Oryzias latipes: one gene and its partner. The protein of the gene in region 1 purifies or fractionates together with the protein of each later gene. This does not show direct contact. Links are inferred from orthologs where the notes say so. Each region holds a gene or a part of one and is shown on either strand. Other genes may lie near its edges.

Region 1 (12,745 bases):
TGATTGGAAATCACAACATGCAAAACCATTGAAGCGATATAATTTCCCCCTAAAACATATCTATATGAAATTGTTTGAATATAACCTCCCTAAAAAGTATAGTTTCTTAAAGTTAGTTGTTTGGCAGACTAATCTTAGGGTTCGAGACTTAATTATACTGATCTGTGATTTTTTTTCCTGCGTGGATTTTTTTTTAACTTAACATTTTTCTACATCCTCTGCGACTAGAAGCTATTCCTCAGGTGTAAATTCTCCTGGACTTGATGATCAATCAGGGTCAGGAACACGTTACAAACCAGCATAAAAACAGCCCTGGTCTGTCTGTCCTGCAGGCCTCTGCGCCAGACCTGCCGCCCTCTTCCCCCCCATTTAACTGGAATCTGCCTCTCCTACTTTTCGGCTCCAAAACAACAACAAACTGTCTTTATTTACCTGTCCCAGGCGAGTCCGTTACGGTGAGGACGAAGAGAAGAGAAAAGAGGAGGAAACTGCTGCTATCAGCCTTCGGCAACATTTATCCTCCATTCATAGTAACTCTTCTCTATCTGGAAAATTTAATAATACCGAGGGTCTGCAACGCCTCCGCCCGCTTCCAAAACACAACTATCACCGCCGGACACGTCTTAAATCCATCTCTACACACTTTAGGTGTCGTTTAAGGGACTTAAAGAAGGTATATAAACCATAGTCGCATTACGTAGATAATCTGACCGAACAGCTAACGCTAGCTAGCTAGCTCCCGTCGTTAACGGCGTCCGTCCTTTGCTCGCTTGCTCGGTGCGTAGCGGCGCTCATCCAAGATGGCTGCGGCCTCCCCCATCACAACAATTCCAAACATGCGGCACGGGCGGGGGAAGCGCTAGAGGGGCGGGGCGGAGCGCGGCAGATCACAGCTACTGACACGGCACGCGCCTCCTGGAAACTTCATGTAAATAAAGGTTTATTTTGAATAAAAGAAAAATAATAGAGGAACCTTTATTTATTTAATTTGATTTCGGTTGAGCTAAAAAGGGTTGTATTCGCAGTGGAACTAGAGTAAATAGTGAAAATGTAGAGATTTACTTTTATTTAAACAAGTTTTATCTATCTATCTAAATGGATTTACTTAATAAGGAGTTTCTTCATACATATATGAAGAATATCATTTATATACAGTACTGACCAAAAGTTTGCACACACCTTCTCATTCAAAGAGTTTTTCTTTTTTTTATGACTACGAAAATTGTAGATTCACACTGAAGCATCAAAACTGTGAACTAACACATGTGGAATTATATATGTAACAAAAAAGTGTGAAACAACTGAAAATATGTCATATTCTAGGTCCTTAGTAGCCACCTTTTGCTTTGATTACTGCTTTGCACACTCTTGATGAGCTTCAAGAGGTGGTCACCTGAAATGTTTGTCACTTCACAGGTGTGCCCTGTCAGGTTTAATAAGTGTGGTTTCTTGCCATCAGTTGTGTTGTGCAGAAGTCTGGTGGATACACAGCTGATAGGCCCACTGAGTAGACTGTTAGAATTTGTAATATGGCAAGAAAAAAGCAGCTAAGTGCAGAAAAACAAGTGGCCATCATTACTTTAATAAATGAAGTTCAGTCAGTCTGAAAAAATTGGAAAAACTTTGAAAGTGTCCCCAAGTGCAGTCACAAAAACCATCAAGCGCTACAAAGAAACTGGCTCACATGTGGACCGCCCCAGGAAAGGAAGACCAAGAGTCACCTCTGCTGTGGAGGAAAAATTCATCCGAGTCAGCAGCCTCAGAAATGGCAGGTTAACAGCAGCTCAGATTAGAGAGCAGGTCAATGGCACAGAGTTCTAGCAGCAGGAGACTGTGTGAATCAGGCCTTCATCTCTGCCACTTATTGACAGAAATAAACCAACACCCAAATGTCCTCAAAAAGAGATGCTTTTTTAAGTATCCTAAACCCAGTTTGTTTTGCTGGAGGCAAAACCTGTTGAGTGAGTTCTTGTGTTAAAAATGTGGAGATGTCGGTTTCACAAAGGCAAAGGTTTAACTTGATTTTTAAAACGTCCCAAACAGTCATACTTAAACCAGACACTGATCTTTGCTGCTAATCTTTAAGTTATTTAAACAGTTTTTTTCCTTTAAATTACTTCAACTGGATGTATTGGAAGTTAAGCTTTGTTATTATTTTTTATCATCTTCGACAGTTTCTCTGTTGTAAACTTAGTTTTACTAACAAAAGTTTTAAATGTTTTTCCTTCTCCTTTAGGTGATAATTGAAACCCCATTTGAATACTTTAAAATGTTTTCCTAATTTTATTTTTATGAAATGACACCAAAAAAAACCTCAGGTTTTGCCTTTCGACCGAACTTATTTGCAAGACAACAAAACTACCAATGAGAACTTACATTAGGGGCAAAGCAAGTAGAAACAAATTGTAGGTATCAATGTTTATTTTACAGCAATGAAGAAAGATGCAATAAATAGGTCTTTAGAAATTTCAGTCCACATTTTTTATGTCATTGCTGCAAAAAAACGGACTATTTACATAGAAAAATCCTCGTTATAAAAGTCTTTTTTACAATGTTCACAGAAAACTGCTTCTAGAAAAAGTCTGATGCTTTCCGTCTTTTTGGAAGCTGCAGCAGATTGTCTGTGAGTGATGTGAGGTCTTGAGAGCCGGGAGTTTTGACTTTGTTGGGCGTTGGTGTTCCCGAAGGCGTGTCGGGTCCAAATGGAGTCTTGCAGCCTGCCCCTCTGTGTGAGGGTGAAGGGGTGTAGCTGGCTCTTAAGGCTTTGTCTGTGTATTTGCTTGACGTCCGATTAACAAGCCGCTGCAAGGCGGGCGAAAGCGCTGGACTCAGACCTTTGGGAGTAAGACTGCAACCAAAACAAAATGCTTTTTCAGTTCTTTGTGTGTGCCCAAACAGGTTAATTAAAAAGGCAATTGTCAATACCTTGCAAGGTTCTCTGTGACCTTCCGTAGGGCCTCTTGCTTCTTTGCACGGTTTTTAGCCGCAGCTTCATTCGCCATCTTCAGACCCAACCTTTCCCTCCTTCCTGGCTCCGGAATCTTCAAAAAACAACAACAAACAAACAATGGCAATGTTCACATTTTTAAAAATGCAAAGGAGCTAGAAAACAACAATTATTTCATTTATTTTTTTTAAGTTTGGCACCTTAAAGGATGGGCCATGGTTTCTCTCAATGTATGGAGTGTCTGAGCCGTCCAAGCGAAATGGGGTGCTCTCAATCTCACCCCAGGTCATAAGAGGGGACTCAGAAACACCTAAAAAACAACAAATACTTTTAGTCGAAAGCTTCTTAAGGAGAAAGAGCACATGAAACCCGCCTATAGATAATTTTGCTGCCTCAAAGGAAACTTCAGCTTCAGCAAAGTTAGGGAAAAAAAAGAAACAGCAGCGTGTTTTCTCCTCAGAAAAACAATTACTATGGTAGCAGATGCAAAAAAAAAAAAAAAAAAAGACAGTGTATACAGCTCTGTGTTTACAGGGAAAACAAAGGCATGACAAACCCGCTCTGCTGTGAAACTATGGGTTAATCTTGAGCTGGACAGACATATTAAGATAGGATCCCAACAACTCCATATAAAGTTTTAGTCTTCAGGCACAACCACGGTGGTTTACTCACCAGGTGCGACCAAAGGTGTTCTCTCATAGCTGTATCCGTTCACTGTGGGGGATTCCTGTGGGATTAGCTCTTTTCCATCCGGACCAACTTTTCCCTGTTTAAACTGAAAAAAACACAACATCATGTTAGCAACACGATTCAGGAAAAGATGACTTGTTAGTAGCACTGCCAGGTAAGAAAAAAACACTTCATAGCTGTACACATGAGATACTTTAAATTGTGTTTTAAAATAAAACAGTGTACCTGTGCGTTGAGAGCTGCTGCCTGTTGTATCTGGCTTTTGTTGAGAGCGTTGCTAAAGGGGTCTCCGGAAAACCGAGTGTTCTTATGGACCACTTCTCTTGGTTTTTTGAAGACACTGTCGTCATCTTTAACACCTGATAAAATAAAATAAAAAATCTCAAATAGACTGGGCTTACTGTAAACCTTCAGTATAGGAAATAATTTAAATGAATACTTTACCCTCTGGATAATACATAAGGGCATTCTTTGCCTTGTACTCCCACGTCTCTAGACCAGCTTTTACACATTCTAGCGCAGCTTTCTCCGCCGGTGGTAAAGCCAGATTATTCTCGTGGCGCTGAAAAGAAAGAAAGAAAGCTTTTGAGGCAAGACATTTTCAAAGCATTATCGCTGCAATTTTTGGATGCAGTTATATGGCAGACACAATTAAACTGGTAAACGTTAACTCACAGATTTCATAATTGGCTTACATAAGAGAGGCCATGAGTGTATTACCACAAAATCTCTAATGTAGTTGTAGCTTCAAAGCTTGTCATGTGAGCCTCACTATCATAACTGCTTCACACCAACCTGTTTGAACTCTGCCTCTGCTTCATACAACCAGGCATGCTTCAGCTTCTCCTTATCTTCTGCCAGTTCCATTATCTGCTCAAAGGAGGCATTATCCTCACTGGTAGTTTTGGCAAGAAAACGGTCCAGATTGGGAAGCTTTTTGTCTTCCCCATCATCCTCCTTATGCTCTATAAAATCATACATGAAAGACAGGGATGATTTAGTGCTCGCCAACTGTAGGCCTAACATTTTCCATTTCATGCTTAGCAATTTCTGAGCACATGGATAAAGAATGTAACATATAGACAGATGACTTTTAAACAGGAACTGAGGTTTTTAAGCCAATTTATATGAAATTGTGAACATGAGACTAAATCGTTACAAATGTAAATAGTTGATTACAAACATTTAAAACTAACCCCCTTCAGAAACTTTGCTGCAGTGATTGGAGGATGGAGATTTTGGACAGCCCACTGGGGTTTCAAAGCTGGCTGGGGTCACATCTGGCTCACAAAGGAAAGGTAAGACAACAGAATAATAATTACAACAAATCGAATAAAGAAGTTTTGTTTTTCTTTCCGTCTACACAAACAGAAACAGAAAGACTGGTTTATTACTCACAAGGTGCAGAGGATTGTGGGGTTGATTTGGTCAAATTAGATCCAAATCGGATGGATATCTCTCTCATTTTCTCAAGGTCTCCATTCTCTTCTGCTTCTAAATAATCCCTTTGAGCTTGCAATTTTGTCACATCTGGGAAAAAGTCTCTTTGGATGATTTTCTCTAAGCTCTATCAAAAGTAGACCAGAGAAAAACACAAGACAAGTACAGTCAGTTACAAACCAAAATATCGATCAAGCTAGCTCACATGAAATCTTCACGCAGTCGTAAACATATCGAGACGCTGGCTTCGTTACCTCAATGTACTCCTCTTCATCGAGGACTTTTCTCTTCAGCTTTCCTTTATCCTTTGGCTCGGGCTCACGAAGAGCTACTGTAGAGATCGCTAAGGGAACGAGCGTCCCGGACAACGCTCTCCTCACGCTTGCGCTACCCTCCATTATAGCCAAAGAATTAGCCTGCTAGCCTGGAAAGTAAAGGCTAGCTTCCCACTTCAAACAAACACTAAATATAAAACAGGAAGTGATTATTTAACTCGATAACGGCGATTTAAATTTCTTACAAGCGTTGTGAATAAATAATTTGGATAAATCAACCCTCGATGTTAATCAAAACACCCGTAATCAGAACGGACTTACGTAATGTCTGATCACTAATCTAACCGGAAGCTCTTCTCTTCTTCAGTTTGGGAGAGAAATGTGACCTTCATTCCAGTTTGACTGGCACTGCCATCTAGTGGTAATTCCTTTTAGTGCAGTGCCCACTAAACGTTTCCTCCTGTCACGTTTTCCTTCACCCTCAGGTGAACTCTTTACCTTTTTGGCTTTCAGTGTCAGTCTATTTCTTTTCTGATTAAATCATTTATACCTGCCACAATATTTTTTTATTTTTATTGTTTCATAGCAACATGTAAACTGAAACATATGCAATTATAATACACACATGAAAAGCAATATTTCCAAAAGGAGTTAACAGACAGAAAAAAGAAAGATAATAGAAACAAGAGGTTATTTAAAGCAGTTTAAGCTTTTTTCTAGGTAAGCCTGTATACTCACATGATTCCCTTTTTCTCTAATGACAACACTTCCCGTGAAATTCTAAACATCCTTACACTACATTTTTTCAATAAACAAGCTGGATACGTGGACAGCAGCAATTTCTGTTTAACTGCAGCTTAGGAAAGAAACAGGTTTAAAACCAAGTGTTTGATTTTTCCCCAAAGTACCTTTTTAAAAATGTGGATTTAGTTTTGAATTTGAAATTTATAAAATTGTATCCAGTGACTGAGAGTCTAAAAAAGACGGATGTGTCAGCAGGAACCGATCATGTAGGTCCCAAAGTGCTAAAAAAAATAGGCTTGTGGCAGACATTAAAATTTTATTAAATAATCATAGTTTTGGCAAAACGATTCAAAAACAGAAAAAGCATGAAACAAAATGTGTAAAAAAAATTGACAAAGCAAATGACCCATGAAAAGTAAAATAAGCTTAATATCAGACATTAAATGCACTGAAGATGATTGACCTGAAGACAGCTGTGGATGATTATCAAAAGAAAACCAATAAAACTGGGTCTGAGGAGAAATCGAAACCCGGGAAATAAACCATAGCTAGGATCGAATAAACCAAACAAAAGAGGCACACAGACATTTATAAATATTTTAAGTCACATAATTGGAAATGGAGATTGTAACATAAGAGATTGCTTACGGTATGAACCCTTTCAGTTTCTTTCATAGGCATATTCACCAAATAATTCATCTGAATTCAATCCCATTTCACTTAGACATTGCAATATTGACTAAACATATTTTTTCCCACCCCTTGTTTTTTATCAAAAAGAATCTGTAGTTTTAATAATAGAAGTAGCCTTTACCTTCAAACTGGCAGCCAATCATGAAAAAACAGGCTAACACTTTCAATTTTAGCCACAAAGTTGGCCTTTCCATGACCAAAAAGTAGTAGGTGTACTACAAGTAGTCTATGCTAAAGGTGAGGCAGTACAGTTGAAACCAAAAGTTTACATACACCACATGATAAAAAACACATATGCTTTTTTTTTCTTATCGTCAGATATAAAATAAATAAAACTCTTCCTTTTTAAGGTCAATTACAATTTACAAGTTTATTTCTATTTGCTAAATGTCAGAATAATTCTTAGATACGTTTTTGTTACTTTTATCAAAGTCAAAGTTTACATATGCTCAGTATGCCTTTAAAAAATCTGGGAAACCCCAGATGATGATGTCATCTATTTGGAAGCTTCTGATATGTTTATTGACAGTATTTGAGTTAATCAGAAATACAGTACACCTGTGGATACTTATTAGACAACATTTGAAACACACTTACTTGTTTGGAAAGCATCGTGGGACAGTCAAAAGAAAACCTGACAAGACAAGACAATTGAGGATTCGCACCCAAGGAGGCTGGTTCCTCCTTAAGTGCAATTTCCAGAGGCGTCACGTTCATCTGTTCAGATAATTGGACGCAAGTGTAAACATCATGGGAACGTCCAGCCATTTGTGTCGCCAGGGAAACGAGTACTGTACAGACATGGACTGAAAGGCTACTCTGTCAGGAAGAAGCCATTACTCCCACAAAAAGAAAAAAAAAATTTGAAAAGCCAGATTAAAATTTGCTAATGCACACAAGGATAAAGACTTAAATTTTTGGAGACATGTCCTGTGGCCAACTGTAAAGCATGGGGTGGTAGCATCATGTTGTGGGCTTGTTTTGCTGCTGGGGGGACTGGTGTACTCCACAAAATAGATGGCATCGTGGGAAAAGAAGTGTATGTGGAAATATTAAAGCAACATCTGAAGACATCAGCCAGAAAGTTCAAGCTTGGGCACAAATGGATCTTCCAAATGGACAATGGGTTAAATCCTATTGATTATTCATGGTCAGAGCTGAAAAGGCTTGTACATGCAAGGCGACCAACAAACTTGGCTCAGTTACACCAGTTCTGTCACGAGAAATGGGCCAAATCTTATGAGAAGCTTGTGGAAGGATATCCAAGATGTTTGACCCAAGTACTGCAGTTTGAAGGACATAGTACCAAATATTAATTAAATGTATGTAAACTTTTGAATTTGATAAAAGTAATAAAAATGTGTCTAAAAATTATTATGACATTCAGCAAATACAAAAAAATGTGTATATTGTAATTGACCTAAAACAGGGAAAGTTTACTTTTATTTCATGTCTGACGGTGAGAAAAAAAGGCATATATGTGTTTTTATGTGAGGTAACTTATAGTTTCAACCGTATATTTTAAGTTGACTTTTTATCTATATATTGTAAATTCAATCTGATTTAATGTAGTATGAAGAAGTATTCAGTTAGTATATTTCCTACATAACTCGTATCGTATGCTTGCTATTCTTATACTCAAGTATACTTGCTAAAATAAACTTTAAGTGTACTACTTTTTTGCTGAAGGCTACATCTTAATTTTTACAAAAAAAAGGTGAGAAAATGTTTATTTTGAAAAAAATGTTTCACAACCTTTGGCAAACAAGACCCCTTTGCTCTTTTTAAATGAATGTTCAAGTTTTTCTTAACGGCTTGATTACATGTTTTCATATTCATTCATTCATTCTGGCTCATATATCAGCTGCCTTAAAAGTTCAGTAAAGTATTTATGAATTTTTACATTCCATCTGGTAAATATTTGATCTGATCAACCCTTTAAAAAGCAGTAGCAGATACAGGGTTGAAGTATTAAACACACACATTTGTTTCAACAAATGAAAGTCTCTTCTGACGTCTCCACTTTGCTCTTCGGTTTTTAAACCAAACCTGTGTTTTAGAAAAAGGGAGGTGCTGTTAAGAAATAACAAGTTAATTTTTTTTTTTTTATTCCCAATAAATGATGGACGCAGCACTTCCTACCTCCACCCGCTCTTCTCTGAGATGAGTACGCTGTGCCAGCTTCTCCCTTGTGTTCACATCTGGATACTGGTTCTGCAGAAACAGCTCCTCCAGGGCGTCCAGTTGCTCCTCAGTGAAAATGGTGCGGTGACGTCTGGTTCTCCTCTGCACCTGACCAGGCGGCTGCTCCTCCTTTTGAGCCTCCCCCAGCCTGCACTGCTCTGAAAGCACCGCTGGACTCCAACCGTACGGACAGGCTGCAGACGTGAGAGATTTAAAGCCAGAATTCTACCAAGAGGATCAGCTTGTGCAAAGAGCGTCTGGTCCTACCGTCGTGAATGAAATCGGCGTGGATGATGTCTGCACAGTGGGTGCAGTAGCAGCAGCAGCAAAGACAAGCGTGACCCACCGACTCAGCCGGGCCTCCATCCGAACACACCGCCCTCTCTTTGAGTCCAAGAACCCTCGCTCCACATGCCAGTTTCTCCCCTAAACTATTTGGACATTTGCTCAGAATGCTTTCAATGGAGAAGGAAAACTTTTGTCTCTCCGTCCTCATCAGTCCATCCATCTTCAGAGAAATTCCAGGGAAAGCACAAACGATTGCAGGACACAAATCTTTCTGATATTTCAGCCTCAGCGGCTTCTCTTTTTCTACGCTTCCCTCAACAGCAATTCAAGCCCTTATAGGAAAGAAGAAGAAACCCCCCCCCCCTTAAAACTATAATCCCCTTGCAGACTAGACACATAAAATGACTGAAACTTAATTCCTGGCTAATCTGGGCAGTTTTGTGAAGAGGTTATGGAGGACGCTAGATTCAGTTAATCTTTCTTCATTCCTTTCTCCAACAGAAATCAGATTTCAATGCATAAAATGAGACATGGAGAGCCCCTTAGATCCTTATTGTTGGGGCTTTAGAGAAAAGGGATTGCTTGGTATTAGAAACCTGGATTTAAAGATGAACATTTTTGTGCGGCTCAAAACTGAATTTTACAAGTAGCTTTTAAATTGATATCATGTCATCACTTTTCGACTTATTGGCCATCGGTAAATCTGTGCGTTTGTTCAGGTTGATATAAACAAATGTGTTTAATATTTGAACACAATTAGTGATGGATGTATGGCTTCCTTTTCTTGATTTTCGTGATGCTTTAAAGATAAAAACACACTGAAGAAGTAAATTCAGCACACGGCTTGTATTCACAATCCCGCGTCTTATCTACGCCCTGCAGTCTTTTTCACTTTGACTCCTCTGACAATGTGCACAGTCGAGGTAAAGCTATTACAGGTTAAATTCATCCGCCCAGCAAATCCTGTGATTTCATACAAGGCAGTGCGTTGCACTTTTTTGTTGTTTTCTTTTTTTTTTTTCTTTTTCGTTCGAGGAATTAATGGATTTCTGCAATCTCCCTCCTAAGCCGCCTTATAAGCGGGGTTTGAACACAGATAACAATAAACACCATCTCATCCTTTTCACAGGGGTTTAATAGTGTCCGGATAGTCTGATGTATAGTTTGTGGCTAACGTCAGATTATTATCTGCACGTATTGTGGCTGCCAACAGAAGGACTTGTGCCGCATCCGTGCAGGGCCAAAGGGGTCAAATTTCATTACTCAGGATTAAAATGATAAAGGTTGTTGTTGTCGTAAGCAATATTTTAGACAAGAAATAAAGGGAACAGAGCTGTCAACTCTCAATGGAATTTTTACTGTTTGTCATGAGCTGATTGGACCAAAGTCTGTATTTTAAAATGACTTCAGAGAGGCTAAAATGTGATAATGAATCAAATAATTTGTTTTGTTAATTTCAAGCAGCTACATCCAAAATTGACAAATATTGTATTAACATTTTTGCTTCTTTGCTTCAACTTAAACTCAGCATGTCTTCCGTTAACAATCACTATTTAATTAAGCAAATGTGATTTAAGTGTTTTTTTGGTTTTGTTTTCTGATTTTTTTCAATCTACATGCATTTCATCATTTCTGTAATGAGTTTGATAAATCTGTTTGAAATCTGTACTGCTTTCACTACAATGCTTGAGATCAATCCATTATTCGATCACTCAAGTATTTACACGTTATACACCTCTTTCATCTTTTGAAGTGGGGCAATTTGCAGAGTAAGGGGGTTACACCAACAGCATCAACAGAAACAAGACATTTTGTCATGTTATATTTGAACACAAACAGCAACACCGGCCCAGCTCCTCTTTCTTCCACAATTTCTGATGTCTTGGACAATTTCGTGATTCCACTTCCAAATGCAGGACTTTGTCTCTGACAGACCGCTGATGTAAGTGTGTTCCAGAGTATTATGAGATTATAAATACCTCCTTTAAAATTACATCCAGTGATGCCCAATATTTACACACTGCTTCCATCACATGATATCACTTCTCTGAATGCAAACAGAATAGGGTTATACAGTCTGACTGGCATTGACGAAACTTTTTTTTTATCAATTATTGCCGAACATAACATTCCATTACTTGTTAAAGTCCCATTGTGATGGTCTTTTGATCATTATGATTATGCCGTTTTTAGACAAAATCATTGTCTAGGACATATAGAGACAACAGTCCATTAGAAATGCGCCTCTGAGTTGTGGGTGTTGCTGCAGAGTAAGCCTTCCCCCACTTCCTATCATCCATCTGTTTACAAGATTTCCTGCTAGCTTGCAGCCCTTGACCCCCACAGCTATAGGCTTTTTCCACCATTTTTTCGTCTGCTCCTGGTTTAAAAATGAAATACTCAGAAATGCAACGTTAAGCTTAATTTGCTTTATATATGGCCTCCATCAAGAGGAAAATGTTGCAAGAATATTTTAAAACACCAAGAACCTAATTTTCCTTGGAGTGGGTTTTTTTAAATTTTAGTGCACATGTTGGTGACACTTTTTCTGGATATACCAGAAGTTCAAAAGAAGACTATTAGATATAAAAGTTGTGTTGCAACATAGCTTTTTAATGCAGCAACATATAAATTTGGAAAAAATGTGGTGTCCAACATATAACATAAAGTACTAGACACCTATATTACAAAATTGCTGCCTTGTTAAAGCAAAAATAAACAATTGAGTGCTTTTCTCTCAGCCAGAGACCGCATTCATCTCTAAAGAACTGATTTAGTGTGACTTAAGGGCGCGCAGAGCCAGGTGGTGTTGGAGCTCCACCACCTCAGCCTCGCGCGGCAGGCGGCCCGCGATGACGCGCGCGGCGAAGCGGCAGCTGGGCGGAAAAGGCGGGAGAAGCTCGCCGCTTCCGCGCAACAGAAGCAGCGCACAACAGTGTTCCGAGATGGACGATAAGTTGATATTGGCTGTGTTTCATTACCCAGAGCTGTACAATGCCACTTTACCTAATTACCGCTGCACAGACAGTCGGGCAAACGCTTGGAGAAACATCAGCATTGCGCTTGGTCTCCCACGTAAGTATGTTTTGTTTATTGTAACTTCATCACTGCCTTCAATTTAAAAAAACAACTTCTATTAACGGGGAAGCATTATAGACACTTAAAGCACCGATGCTTTTTATGGGTAAAGTAGTTCCCATTTTGCTTTTAACTCTTGGTAGATCTTTTTTTCCCTGCAAACGTGCCTTGGTGGTGCGGACGCGCGTGCCGTGCTAGCGGTAGCAGCCGCTCCGTACAGGCCGCGTCACGCAAAACGACGTAGCCCCGTTAGTTACCGCACCGCACATTCTAGACGGAGCAGGTGGGATATACGGCTCGGTGCGGCGGACCGAAGCGGAACTTCTGTCGCGCCGCGTGCTGTGGTCGCTTTTTACCGGGTGATTCTTTTATTCTTTTATTTTGAAGAGACTGTGGAGCCCCCCCC
Region 2 (12,651 bases), on another chromosome or scaffold:
GTTAAAGCAAGGCTGAACAAGCTGTCTCACCTTTAATTTGGACAGACTTTTCCAATTCCCTTTCGAAGGCATTTAAGGAAAATCGCTGAAACGTATCAGGGTGTGACATGATCTGTTTGGTGATGCGAAGAGTACTTTTTTTGGCAGCTGACAAACAGATTTGATAATAAAGGTGAAGCAGAATTACAAGTGGGAGCACTTTGAAAACATTTGTTCAGGAAACCCCCTCGAGAAGGGAGTGTAACCTCCACGACCTTTGGCCCGTTAACCTTCCTCGTGCTGACAACTCCACTCTGGGGCTCCAGAGGGAGAAAAACACGACCTGAAATGAAAGCACGGCCTCTGCACCGCGGCTGAACGTCTGCCGGAGCGTAACAGACCTTCATGACAGCTTTTATATCACCATTTCTTCATAAAATGTTAATTAAGTCGAGTTTACGTTTGAGTGCCGGTGACTGCAGTAACATTTTCTCCTTGTGGGTCACAGTTAGTGAGGCTTCTACAAAGGCAACAGTGTTAAAAGCTTGGAGAACGGAAGATGTTTTATCAACGAAAAAGGGAGAAAGACATCAGAAAGGACTCAGCAATAAATCCATCAAGCACATCAATCGTGTTGCGAGACTGCCCGGTAAGGACATTTTCAAATAGATGATGTGTCTCTTCGTAGAGGAAAACAAGTCTTCTCAGGATCCAAGAACTTCACCTTGTCAGACATGAGGCTGCAAGTAACTTTGGTTAAAGCTCTGGAGAATTTATGAGTTTCCCTGTCAGAGCATGCGACTATTAGGTATAGAAATGCAAACACATATGAGGCATATTAATATAAAGGGGGCTCTCAGTCTCTTACATAACATTTGTCAGTCGTCCAAAAGGGCTTGGATGCAAGAGTTGAAGGTATAGTCCCATGCATCCGTACCGGGGTTGCAGGTTCTGCAAATTTTTGGGTTGTTTGGGTCATGGAAGGTCGTAGAAGGGACCGGGAGTGAAGGAGTGCAGGTGTGCCTCCAGTTCCCTTCAGGCTTGTTAAAAATTGACCATACCATTGTTGTCTGTGTAGTAAATGTATCGTGAAGTGTTCGTCACGACTAACGTATGTTGCATGCACTTATGACATATGGGTGAGTTACTGCTTTATTTGCCGTCGGTAGCTGTTGTGTTGTTCCCTTTGGTAAAAACATTCAAACCATCCTCATTAAAGTCCCACTCCAATCATGTTTGGATCTATCTTCAAAGCATTCCAGTGGTCTTTTAAGGATTTTCATGCCGTTTGTAGCCAAAATCAAAGCGCCTTCATTCGAGCGGCAGGGGTTCATCACAAATCCATCATCACATCCGAATGGGGCGGAGCCGGGAGGGTGTGGCTCGCCGACTGTGGCAGCTCTGTCAAAGCTACTGGCTTTTTCCGACAGCATTAATTTATTTGAATAAAAAAATCCTCAGACTTGCAAATGTCCTCCAGCATGAAAAAAATGCTACAAAAACATGTTAAAAACGCACAAAAAACACCATTTGCATTGAAGAGGGTCTTTAACCTGAAGCGATCTGCTTATCATCCCAGCAGAAATAAGAATCCCAATGCGTCAGTGCAAGTACAAAGCGCCAAGCTGTAGCCATCCCATAATAACTTCCAAACTTCCTTTGGAGATCCCGACACGTGTGTTTTGGTTTCGTAAATGAATTTTGGCTTTGGAAAGTTTTGGCCCCATTTGTTTTTGGTCGTTTTCTCCCGCTGTGATGTCATCATTTTTTGGGGGGTGAGGGGAGGTTGTTCACCTTCCCCAGCATGTATTTTTTGAGTATGTGCTGTTGGGTGACTTAAAGGCGCAGTAAGAGAGAAGAATTGCTCAAAAAATCTGGTCCTTGCTGTCCAGGACTTCTGCGGGACAGAATAATATGATCGGGGATAAGAAGCGCGTAGTTTTGGACAAAATACACATCTGTCCCCCACATGAGTAACATTGAATCTGTGAAATGAAAACACACTTTCGCTTTCTGGCTTGAATTTGGGTTTGTTGTTGCTCTGAGTGAGGAGGTTAAGAAAAGCACTGAAACGTGTCCTTCCACATTCAGATTTCCGTCTGTCCGGCAGCGGCTCCCTTCCTCTGGGAACTATGATAGCGGACAAACCTCGGGAGTGGCGGTTGGAGTGAAGTGAGGTGGACCTGTCTAATCCCACTTCCTGTAGGAGCGCTTCATCCTCTGTATTGCAACAGAGGATGAACTGTCAGAGAGCAGGATTACAAAGTCTTAATCTAGAACAATATATTGGCTTAGTCAGCTTTCTCAGACACACTTATGCTTGTGAGACTGCAGCAGTGTACAGATATGCAAACTAGACGTCTGGCGCCATTTTATTCCACCATTGAGAAGAAAAGAAGTTGATGGGGATTTACTACTACCTTTTCCTAATCTGGTTGATGAGCAGAATGAAACAACCTTTGAAGGTAATCCTGCAAATAACTATCGCAAATGTTGGACATGAAACAGGCTTTAATCATCAGGATTCCTCAGAAACATCTAGATTTTGTGGAGGAAGAGTGAGGATGAGCAAACAGAGACCTGAGGGGCACGGTTTGCGTCAATACATCCTTTTCCCAGAGGTTTGGGCGTTAAAAAAAACAAAACAAAACAAGAAAACAAAGACAAAAATCACACGAGAGAACGTGTCAGAACATAAGCTGAATGAAAATGACACAAAGATGTGAACAGGTCTCTCCTGAGGACAGGCTTCTGGTGAAAGCACTGACGGAGTGTTATGTAATGCTGCAGGGAGTCTCTTTACCTCTGGCACCATCTAGTGGACGGATTTATCAATTGCAAGATAATCCATTTTAATTTTCAATTCTTTTCTTTTTGCTGTTGTTAACAAATTCTTGTGGCATTTTTCTGAGGATGGAGGATGTAAATAAAGGAAATGAAGCTAAAAATGTGCATTTTTGAGTATTTTTTTATTCAAATCATTGTGAATCAGGAGCATGTTAAAAAAAATGCAGGTTGACAAAGATCGTGCTCGCCATTTTTGTTGCAGTACTAATGTTAGGTCGGGGTTGTGAGGGGCTGTGAGCTGGCAGAGAGCTCAGTTACGGGTGACTGGAAGGGGGAGCGGGGGAGGGGGTTGCTCTGCGCCAACAGTCCCAGTGACAGCTCAGAGGCGAATTTCTAATGAACAACTGCAGAAACTGTGTCTTAGAAAAAAACCCAAGTTTTATGATTTTTGGTTAAAAACGGCATCATCATAATTAAGAGAGCACTGGAAATGCTTTGAAAACAGATCTAAAGATGATCGGAGAGGGTCTGTATTATGTGTGACTGTCAAAATAATATCAAATGTTTAAAAAGATCTTTAAATCCTTTTTCAGTGTAACAACATACGATGTCTGTCCTTCTTTATATGAGGACTAAAGGAAGTGAGACGTACCTTTACCAGACACAACTTCATTCTCCGTCCGCCATCGAAAGCCAAACTGTCGGTTGCAGAAAGACAGAAAAGTTGACCAACGGAATCAGTTAAAACTCCCAGAAAAACATGAAATGGGTGAAGCAGCAGAATCTGAAGCTGATGGGTAAACGCTGCGTATTTTATCTGCTGAGTCATGAATTGTCTCAATCATCACAGATGACATTTTAAGCACAGTAAGTCAAACGCACATCCATAACATTGTTTACTGAGTGAATTCCACACACACGTTAGGATTTGTTACCTTTTTTTTTAACCCTTGTTCTATCTTGTGGGGTCCAGATGACCCCACTCCCAACGTTGGGAGTGGGGTCATCTGGACCCCACAAGATAGAACAAGGGTTAATAACTGTGTGTGCCAAATGTCAAATGTCCATTTAATAAATTGGCATTTTAGGGGGAAGTTTTTTATTGTGTGATTCTGCTGTGATCTCTGTGACATCTACTATCCTTTTTCTAGGGGGGGTTAGAGTGATGTTCACGTTGCCCCTTTGAATCATTTCCTGTTAGAAAAGTACACAGCAAAAAACAGGCCACCAAGAAAGTCAAGAATTGTTCAAATACTTTAACTGAGCAGAAGAAAGAAATGTAAAATAAAATCTTCCAATGGGGTAAGAGAAAATATTTGACCAAAAATACTAATATTAAGAAAGTTTTTCAATGTTTTCTCAAGCTAAGATTATATTTCTATGAAAAAACGTTCTTGATCAGATTATTTTACAGAAAATAAGACATTTGGTTCTTGAATCAAGGTCTTCTTACCTTCTTAAGACTCAGTTTTTGCAGTCAAAACGATCGAATTTATTTGAAAGGAATCCGAACAAGTCATATGTAGTAAAGCAGTGTTATTCATATCTATTTATTATTTTATTCCTTTCATAAAAGATGTTTGACTAAATCTGTTCTTAACATCTGTAAATCCCCTAAATAGACGTAAATCTGAAAATCTGCTAACGTTCAAATCACTTCAGTTCGACACAACGTTGCTTTTAAAGATCGCCGTCGGACCAGAAAGCTGTAATCTTTTTGAAGGATAAAGTGTAACAAAGGTGGTCAGAAGCCTCTGGGTTCTTTGTTTTTCTTCACCTTGTTCTCCTTGTATCTGCTAAGGTCTGCTATGCAGTACTCCTTGAAGAGTTTGTCGTAATACTTCTTGGCCAGCTCCTTTTCCCTGGGGGAGAAAAGGCACCGGTTGAGGCGAGGGCATCGACAGCTCCGAGTTCAGCGCCGGACTCTGGAGGATCACCATGTCATGTCTTCTTCGTCCTCGTCCCTCCAGAGGAAGCGGTGGTTTTCGCGCAGAACGTCCAGATCCGTTTTATCTTTCACCCTGAAGGGGAAAAAAACGTTTGACAAAAACCAACAGAGGTTCCAGAGAATCCGATTCCCAGCAGATGAACTTTTCAGGGAAGCGGCTTGAATCTCTACGTACCCAGAGCGTTTGAAGTCGGCCATCTGCCCTCCATAGTAGAGGATGTAGTCGCCGACAAACTTCTTATGCCGCTCAAACTAGTCATTTGCTTAAGGTCTTCCTGTTTTTTGAGAGATAACACTTGCAAAGTGCAAAATAAATCAGTTTCTGCACTAAAATGTTTCCAAATGACCAAAAACAGAAATCATCCATCCCAACCTATTAAATTCTGATTTAATGTTTATTAAAAAAAGATACGGCGTTCAAGGAAATCAGGTGGGCTCTCCTGTTCCGGGCTTCTTCTCTATAGAAAAAAAGAAATGCGGTTTACAACAGAACTGAGTAAAGACAGCAGAGTCACTCATTTTGCCTTCCTGAGCTCTATTTAGCTACATAAACAAAGAAATAAGAAAAAGAAGTAAAGAAAAACTTGGTGGAAAAATTATAATGGGCTTATTTATCACTCAAAATACCATCAGAGGTTCATTTTTTGGTTAAGTGTTACATGTCAGAACGGAAATGGTGTATGTGTGTGTGTGTGTGTCAGGTGAGTTACCTGTCCACTTCACTCGAGTGCAAACTGCGGTGAGCGACCTTTGAATGTTGACCTTTCTGGAAAGGCTTCTGCAGGAGTTCCTCCTCGTGTTTCCTTTCAGACATTCATAGAGTGCTCATCAAATCAAATGTTTACAGCACTTTTCATACTCATTTTTGATTTCAACTGCATGGAATTTGGCCACCTCAGCTTACGAGCTTTGTGTTCAGGAGTGTCAGACAAGAGAAGCAATGCTCATTGTTAACCTTTGTGTTGTGTAATTATCACTTATTTATTTGTTTGTTTGTGTTTTTAGTACAATGTAGTAACATAATGTGTTGTCAGGACTCATTCTTTATTATGAAGTTGTGTGTGTCTGTGTGTGTGTGTGTGGGGGGGGGGGGGGGGCACACAGAAGTTTTAAATCTTTAAGGGAAAAAAAAGCGAGGTGGGAAAAGTAGGAATCTGGCTTTGTATTTGAGTGAGGAAACAATATTTCAGGGACTTATCCACACCAGCAACCCTCCCCTCTAGGGGACCCTCCCCCCTAATCAAAGCCAGGAGCGAGACCATTGACTGTATAAAGGAACTGGACAGAGGGATTTCAAACAGGAAGTACCTGCTGGCTCCAATTGGCCATAGATTTCTATACAGAAATAAACAGTTATTTATCAGTCATTCACCAGAATGAGTCAGAATAAAAAAGTTATTTAAGGTATAAACGGACCAATCAGATGCCTCAGTAAAAGCATGTGGTGCCCGCTGGCCCCCACCTTGGACATTTGATTGACAGATTATCCTGAGTCACTTTCAGTGGAAGGGGAGTGGACTTCCAACAAGCTTGCTCAACAGCAGTCGCCATAGAAACATGGCTACGACCAACTCGGACCAATCACTGTCGGCTGGCAAACGGTGGCTCCCGTCTCGCGGAAAAAAACGGCTTCTGAATTGGTTTCATTTCGCTGGAGCCGAAGGTGAAGTACTTTCTATGGGTGACGCCACAGCCGCTCAGTCCAGGTCTATATACGCTCTATGAGCGAGACCAGGAAGAGCAACCCTGTGCACTGAGGAGGCTGGTGTGGAGGATCCCTCTGAGGAAAACACTCAAGTTCAAACAAAACATAAAAATAATGAACCACATGAAAGTTAAAACAGAGATTAATCAAAAAATAAATGGTAAAAAAGCATTAAAAAGGGATTAAAAGATATATAAATAAAAAGGATTATATCAAGCAAGGGGGGGGGGGGATTATGAATTGATAAAATCATTTAAATATCAAAGAAAAATCTTTCTTAATTTCATCTTAAAGCTAAAATAACACAGTTACAAGACAAATAATAACTGAGTGCTGCAAATAAAAGACAGCTGATAGAAAATGTCTCTATAAATCTATTTCCTTTACAAATGTGGACTCTTGTAGATGAAAGTTTTACCTTTTACGAGCTCTCTCTGAGGATTCTCCCTGTTGATCTTCATCACTAAAGTCTGAGTCATAGTCTCCCCCACCATGGACCTGCAGATTCAATCAAACCTTCACTAAACAACCAGGATGGACGAAAATCTGTGGTTAGTAAAAACCATACACAAGGTCATTGAAGTGATTGAGTAAAGTACAACTAAAGCATCCAAATCAAATAAAAACAGTCCTTTAAAGACTTTTTTTATGTGTGCAGCAGACATGGATTATTTCTCACGACATACGGGACTCATTTGTGTTTAACACAACCGGGTTTAGTTTGCTTCATGAAAAACATGGAAATGTTCTTTTCTACCGCCGTAATATCATACAACGAATGCGGAAATATCTTTAAAACCCTTTTTGAGAAAGAAAAAAAAACACTATTATTTTTGTCATCCCTCCTCATTCTTCTCGGATCTAAGACAGCAAGTGTTTTGTTAAAAAATAAAAAATCGCAAGTTCGGATTATTTTCTGCTGGTATCATATTAGATTCCCATTAATATGATCTGAAAATTGTATCATAGTTTATCTACCTGTACAAGATTCTCCATGAGTATTTTTTTTCTCCCGAAGCTGCACACGAATGTTTACATTGACAGACCGTCGGCTGATGATGACGTCAGTGAGCACAACAGCGTCGCGGTGTGATTACGTCATGCTTGTTTTTCCCCGCCTGCATTCGTTTTTATTAATATTTTTATTGTTATTTATTTTAATAAATAAAAAATGTTATATAAATCTTTGTATGTTGTAGCATTTTAAAAATCACAAAGGCTGAGTTATTTTGAAACCTTTTTTTTTTTTTGGGGGGGGGGGGGGTCCTTTAAAGTCAAAACTTAACAGAAGACTGTTGTTGCTCTTATTTATCTGTCGTTAGCCATAAGTAAATAATTTTAATCATTTCTTTTATTAATCTTATTTCAATACCAGTTGCAAAAATATATCACTGTATTTAGGTTTGGACTGAATGCACCTAAAATATTAATAAAATATTCGAAGTTTCCCTTTTTTGTTTCTAAAAACTCATTGTCAACATTAAATTTGTCCAGAGTGCATCTTCACTTTAATATTTATAATAGAAATATTAAAGTGATAATATTTCCATAGACAATACATTAGAAAAATAAAAGGAGAATAATTTTCTAAATAACTTTTAATTGTAGTCATTTTTATTTTAAAGATAGGGTATTCCTTTTTTTGTTGAGGTTCTTTTATTTTTTGTTGTTATTTTGAGAATAGATTTAAATTCATCAACTAAAATGCATCAAACACTATTTTATTATTTGGAGGTTATGTTCAATTTTAACTTTTGTTAAAATTTACATAAGTATCGACCTCTTAACCCAAACGCAAGTCACCTTCCACTCTTTTGTCATGTCTTACAGAAATATTTGATGGGGTTAATGTTTCACTTCTCTCAAATCCCACATAATGTAATGGATACATAAAAGCTGTCACCATATCAGTGCAAAATACAATTTATACATAAACGTTTAGGTATGTAAGGTATGATGGATACCATGTGTAGGTTAAAGAAAGTATATTTCGGAACAAAAACAAACAATTCAATATTGAATGAATTGGAGAATAAGAATTATGAAGTAAGTAAGTAAATCTTTATTTATACAACACTTTTCGCAGAGAACTACCCACAAGGTGCTTCAAAATGTAAAAATAAATAAATAAATAAAATCAGAGAAAGAACACAGAATGGCACAGGGAGTCTGAAGCAGGTAAAACCCAAATAAAACACACTCAAGTATATGAGTGAACAAACAAACAAATAAAAGTGAACACAAGAAAAAGTCAGCTAAAAGCTCTCCAGAATAAAAATGTCTTAACTTGAGTTTTAAAACCCTCAACTGAGTCGATCTGCCGCAGAGACAGAGGGAGGTCGTGCCAAAGTCGAGGAGCGACTGCCTGAAAGGCGAGGTCTCCCCTATAGTTTTAAATCTAGTTTTTGGAACACATAAAAGATTCTCATCAGTGGACCTCAAGGAACATGCAAGAGTGTAGGGAGTTAGAAATATAGTTCTGGGTTTGTCAGTGCAAGGCTCTGAAAACTGAAATGAAAATCTTAAAATCTATTCTAAATTTAACAGGAAGCCAAGGCAGCAATAAAAGCAGAGGGGTGGGATGAGTGGGCTTATTGGATCCTACTAAAAACCTTGCTGCAGAGTTTTCGACCAATTGGAGACGTTTCAGAGAGTCTTTGTTAAAACAAGTAAAAAGAGCATTGCAGTAGTCTAAACGAGAAGAGATAAGAGCTGAATCAGCTCAACATCAGACTGGGATGAAAGTATCTTCAGTTTGACCACGTTCCTCAGGGGATTAAAACAGTTTTTAACTAGGAGCTTTGAGTGAGAGTCTGGAGATGAATATTTGTCAAGCCAGACACCCAGATTCTGGAGACTGGGCTGGACAGAGGAGCTCAGTGAACTGAGGTGTCTTTTGATACTGGGTATCATCAGGGGCAAAAAATGTTGTCTCTATCTTATTAGGGTTCAGAAGTTAATGGTTGTCATTTAACCAAACTCTAATGCTGGCCAAGCAGTCTAGCAGATAAAAAGGGAAAAATCATTATTTTAATGTGGCCTGGCCCAATCTATGTTACATATATCATTTATATTATTATTTTTACTGATTTTGGATAAATATTATCAGTTTTAAATGCTCCCTCCCAACCCCACTGTCGTTTCTTTTATGTTATTTTAAGTTCCTGCGTAATCTTTTTTGCAAAGCAAAAAGACAAACAATCAGAAACAAACCTGTTATTTTTTCCTGTTTCTGTTGATTTATGTGACGTTTTTGATGAATGGCCTGTAAATTTCTAAACAGTCCTCCAATGAGGCCATTTAAGGCCAGACTATTATCAGCAGACATGCTCCAGTTGGAATTTGATTGAAAAATGAAAGCAGACTATTCAACAAAGACTTTAATGTTGGAACAAATGGCTCAGTTTTACACACTAAATAGCTTATCGGGCCTAATATCGATCTCTGAGGTACAAAGGCTGTTTGCAGGCCTGGGAAATGTAGATGGAAAAATAAAAAAGACCATTATATTGGGGGGGGTTGTTCAAGGCTTGGAATATAGTTAATAGCCTGGGTGAAAGTTCAATACATTGTGGGAACACATTTCCACTGAAATCAACAAAGGACTTTTTGTCAGCTCTGAAACAGGACAGGAAAAGGAGAATATTTCTGCTTTAAATTCAAATGGAACCCAAGTCTGGGTTTGGCCTGTGTGCCCTGTTTATTCCATGAATCCATCTTCTTTCCCCTTTCCCATCATTATCAGGCTGGAGCAGGGAAGAAAGGAGGCAGCATTTGATGAGTGGGGCAGGTGCATTTGCACAGAGCCTCATGAATAGCAGCTTCCCATTAGATTCAGAGACGCGCATAAATAATAGCGCCTCTAAAAAGTGCACCTAAGGGCCTCCCCTCCTCCTCTTCCTTCTCCTTGTCCTCTCCATTTCTCTTTTTACTTTCTGGAGCCCCTCTAGGCATAAGAGAGAGGCGTCTCTTCTTACTTCAGACACCTTGTTTCACTTTGGGAGGATGAGATCACCAAACGACAGCAGTCTGGGATGTTTGCGCTCTTGCGTCCCACATTAGTAATCCTGCCCCCTGCAGAACAAATCCGTTGGACTGGTGCCTTCCTCGCAACACACAAGAGGCATCGACTCAAGCCTGCATCACAGCTTTTTATTATTGCAGAGAAAAAAAAAGGGGGAGAAAAAGAAGAGCGCAACATCGTTTGGCATGTTTTTGCGCGCAAGTTTGAAGCCGGGCGCGTCGGGACAGCCGGGATGGAGAGGCTGGAGGCTGCTGGTTTGGGTCGCCGCTGCCAGTTTGGTGCTGATTGACGGACGGAGGGTGAAGCAGCCCAGATGCCCCGCTGGATGCACTTGCACCAAGGATAATGCCCTGTGCGAGGATGTACGCTCCGTGCCGCACGCCTTCCCCTCCGACGTGCTGTCTCTGTAAGCGCAACTCCAGCCTGCTCTCCGGGGCGCCACGCACAGGTCCCCACTCATTTCTCCTCCGTTTTTTAGGTCTTTTGTCAAGTCAGGATTCAGTGAAATCACCGGGGGGAGCTTTGTGCACACTCCCCACCTGCAACTCCTGTGAGTATGTCTGTTTACATCCATTTGGGAAGGAAACAAACAAAGGAGGGGAGTTATGCAAATTCAATGGGATTCCCTGTAATGGTGTCAGGATTATGCAATGAACCACATGCTCGCAGAAACAAACAGCTGGGACTGAGGAACAAAAATACAGCCTTCTCCTCTCCTCGTGGCCACTTTTATCAGCGTTGATGGATTGATTTGGAGCCATCATGAAGGAACCCAAGTCAGATGAAAGCAGCTTGTCAGTGAGCACAGGTTTCCCAGACAAAGCCTCTGCTTTGAGGATTCCATCTTCATGTTCTCAGTTGTGGCAGAAGGAGCTCTCCAGAGGAGGAGGAGGCATCAGGGATCAAAAGAGCGTGACAAGAAGGAGGGGGCCGGGAGGGGGGTAACTAATGAGTCTGTTTTCACCTCCATTAGACCCACACTTCAATCAATAGGGCTTCTATCTGTGACAAAAGCTACAATCACTGGGTTAAAAGAGACATGATCCATCCTTTTTTGAGTTTTGGACATCCTACGACTGAAATATCATCTGACAAATTTTATTACTAAGTCATTTAGCGACAATGTTGCTCATTTTGGGGGGAGGCACAACTATCGCATATTTTCTTTTAATATCTTAATAAAATCTCACAATTCAAACCTTAAAATACAAACATAAAAAAGGAGAATTCACAAAACATCACTGAGATCAAATCAGATTGGGATTTCTGCATATGCAGCATCACTTTGTACTAAATATTCTAACCAGGGTCCTTAGAAACTGTGTCTTTTCTGTGAAATATCCCGCTGGATCATTTTCAAGAGACACTTGGGTTTCAGATTCAGTCGTTGGGGTCATCTGGACCCGATGAGCAGATCCTAGTGCTGCCACTGTGGTACCACAGGCCCTGATTCAACCAGCCCCAGTGTGGGGTGCAGGTAGAATATTAAGGGGGGCAAGTCTGGATGTGCTGAGTCTTGTAAATGCTTAGAAAACCATGCTATCATCATATCAGTTCATCCATCCATTCATCTATCTTCTCCTTTCATCAATTTGATTTGATTTGATTTGTTAAGTGTAAAGATGAATGCTCTTCTTGACACTGGCCTCTGCATTTACCGGGCTTGGGACAGGCACAAGCAGGACACTGGTTTGTGCTCTATTGAGGCTGCATTTATCCTTTGTTTCTTTTTATGTTTGTCTATTTGTCCGTCTAAATTTTTAAATTCTATTTTGGTTTCTGTTTTTTCTTGTTTTTTGGGTTTGTTTTGGTTTTTGTGTTTTTTTTCTTGTAATTGTTGTTTCTTTTAGTTAAGTGTGGATATTTGTGGGCTATCGCATTTGGGGGGCAGTTATGGCATTGGGGGGGGGGGGGGGGCAGTCACCGTATTTTGGAGGTATTGCCCCGTATATTTGACCTTGCTCCGAAACATTAAGTGGAGAGGCGGAGCAGACATGCTTGGCTGCACTTGCCTCGCTGATGCTAATGTATAGTTTCATTACTGCTTGTGCATCCCATGCTGTTTTTTTTTTTTTTTGCTAAGTTCTAATGTTAATTTTTTTTGCAGTTTAGGGTATAACAATACCTAGGAGCGCCTGTCCTGGGAAGGGTGTTACTCTTGGGAGGGCGGGCCTGGCCCACCCTTGCCTACCATCAACCGTCGGGCCT

What was found.
Region 2: the proteins of ess2 (region 1) and protein FRA10AC1 purify together in Homo sapiens (co-immunoprecipitation; 3 studies listed by BioGRID and IntAct, counting the BioPlex papers as one, with this or other methods). This does not show direct contact. The link is inferred for Oryzias latipes from reciprocal best matches to the Homo sapiens genes ESS2 and FRA10AC1.

What each region holds. Positions count from the first base shown.
Region 1 is NC_019870.2:13,784,479-13,797,223, reverse strand, and holds ess2 (splicing factor ESS-2 homolog), read right to left. Parts: upstream 5,760-12,745; 5' UTR 5,476-5,759; coding exon 5,332-5,475; intron 5,205-5,331; coding exon 5,036-5,204; intron 4,918-5,035; coding exon 4,834-4,917; intron 4,603-4,833; coding exon 4,433-4,602; intron 4,200-4,432; coding exon 4,082-4,199; intron 3,997-4,081; coding exon 3,863-3,996; intron 3,723-3,862; coding exon 3,620-3,722; intron 3,258-3,619; coding exon 3,148-3,257; intron 3,042-3,147; coding exon 2,926-3,041; intron 2,849-2,925; coding exon 2,572-2,848; 3' UTR 2,404-2,571; downstream 1-2,403. Other genes in the region: dgcr2 (integral membrane protein DGCR2/IDD), read right to left, coding at 433-514; gsc2 (homeobox protein goosecoid-2), read right to left, coding at 7,412-7,423, 8,932-9,167, 9,241-9,481; uncharacterized protein LOC101161910, read left to right, coding at 12,114-12,336. UniProt on the Homo sapiens protein: May be involved in pre-mRNA splicing.
Region 2 is NC_019877.2:6,166,258-6,178,908, forward strand, and holds the start of protein FRA10AC1, read right to left. Parts: upstream 7,512-12,651; 5' UTR 7,416-7,511; coding exon 7,398-7,415; intron 6,918-7,397; coding exon 6,838-6,917; intron 5,518-6,837; coding exon 5,425-5,517; intron 5,173-5,424; coding exon 5,127-5,172; intron 4,967-5,126; coding exon 4,890-4,966; intron 4,788-4,889; coding exon 4,704-4,787; intron 4,629-4,703; coding exon 4,544-4,628; intron 3,465-4,543; coding exon 3,419-3,464; intron 1-3,418. Other genes in the region: lgi1 (leucine-rich glioma-inactivated protein 1), read left to right, coding at 10,629-10,849, 10,922-10,993. UniProt on the Homo sapiens protein: May be involved in pre-mRNA splicing.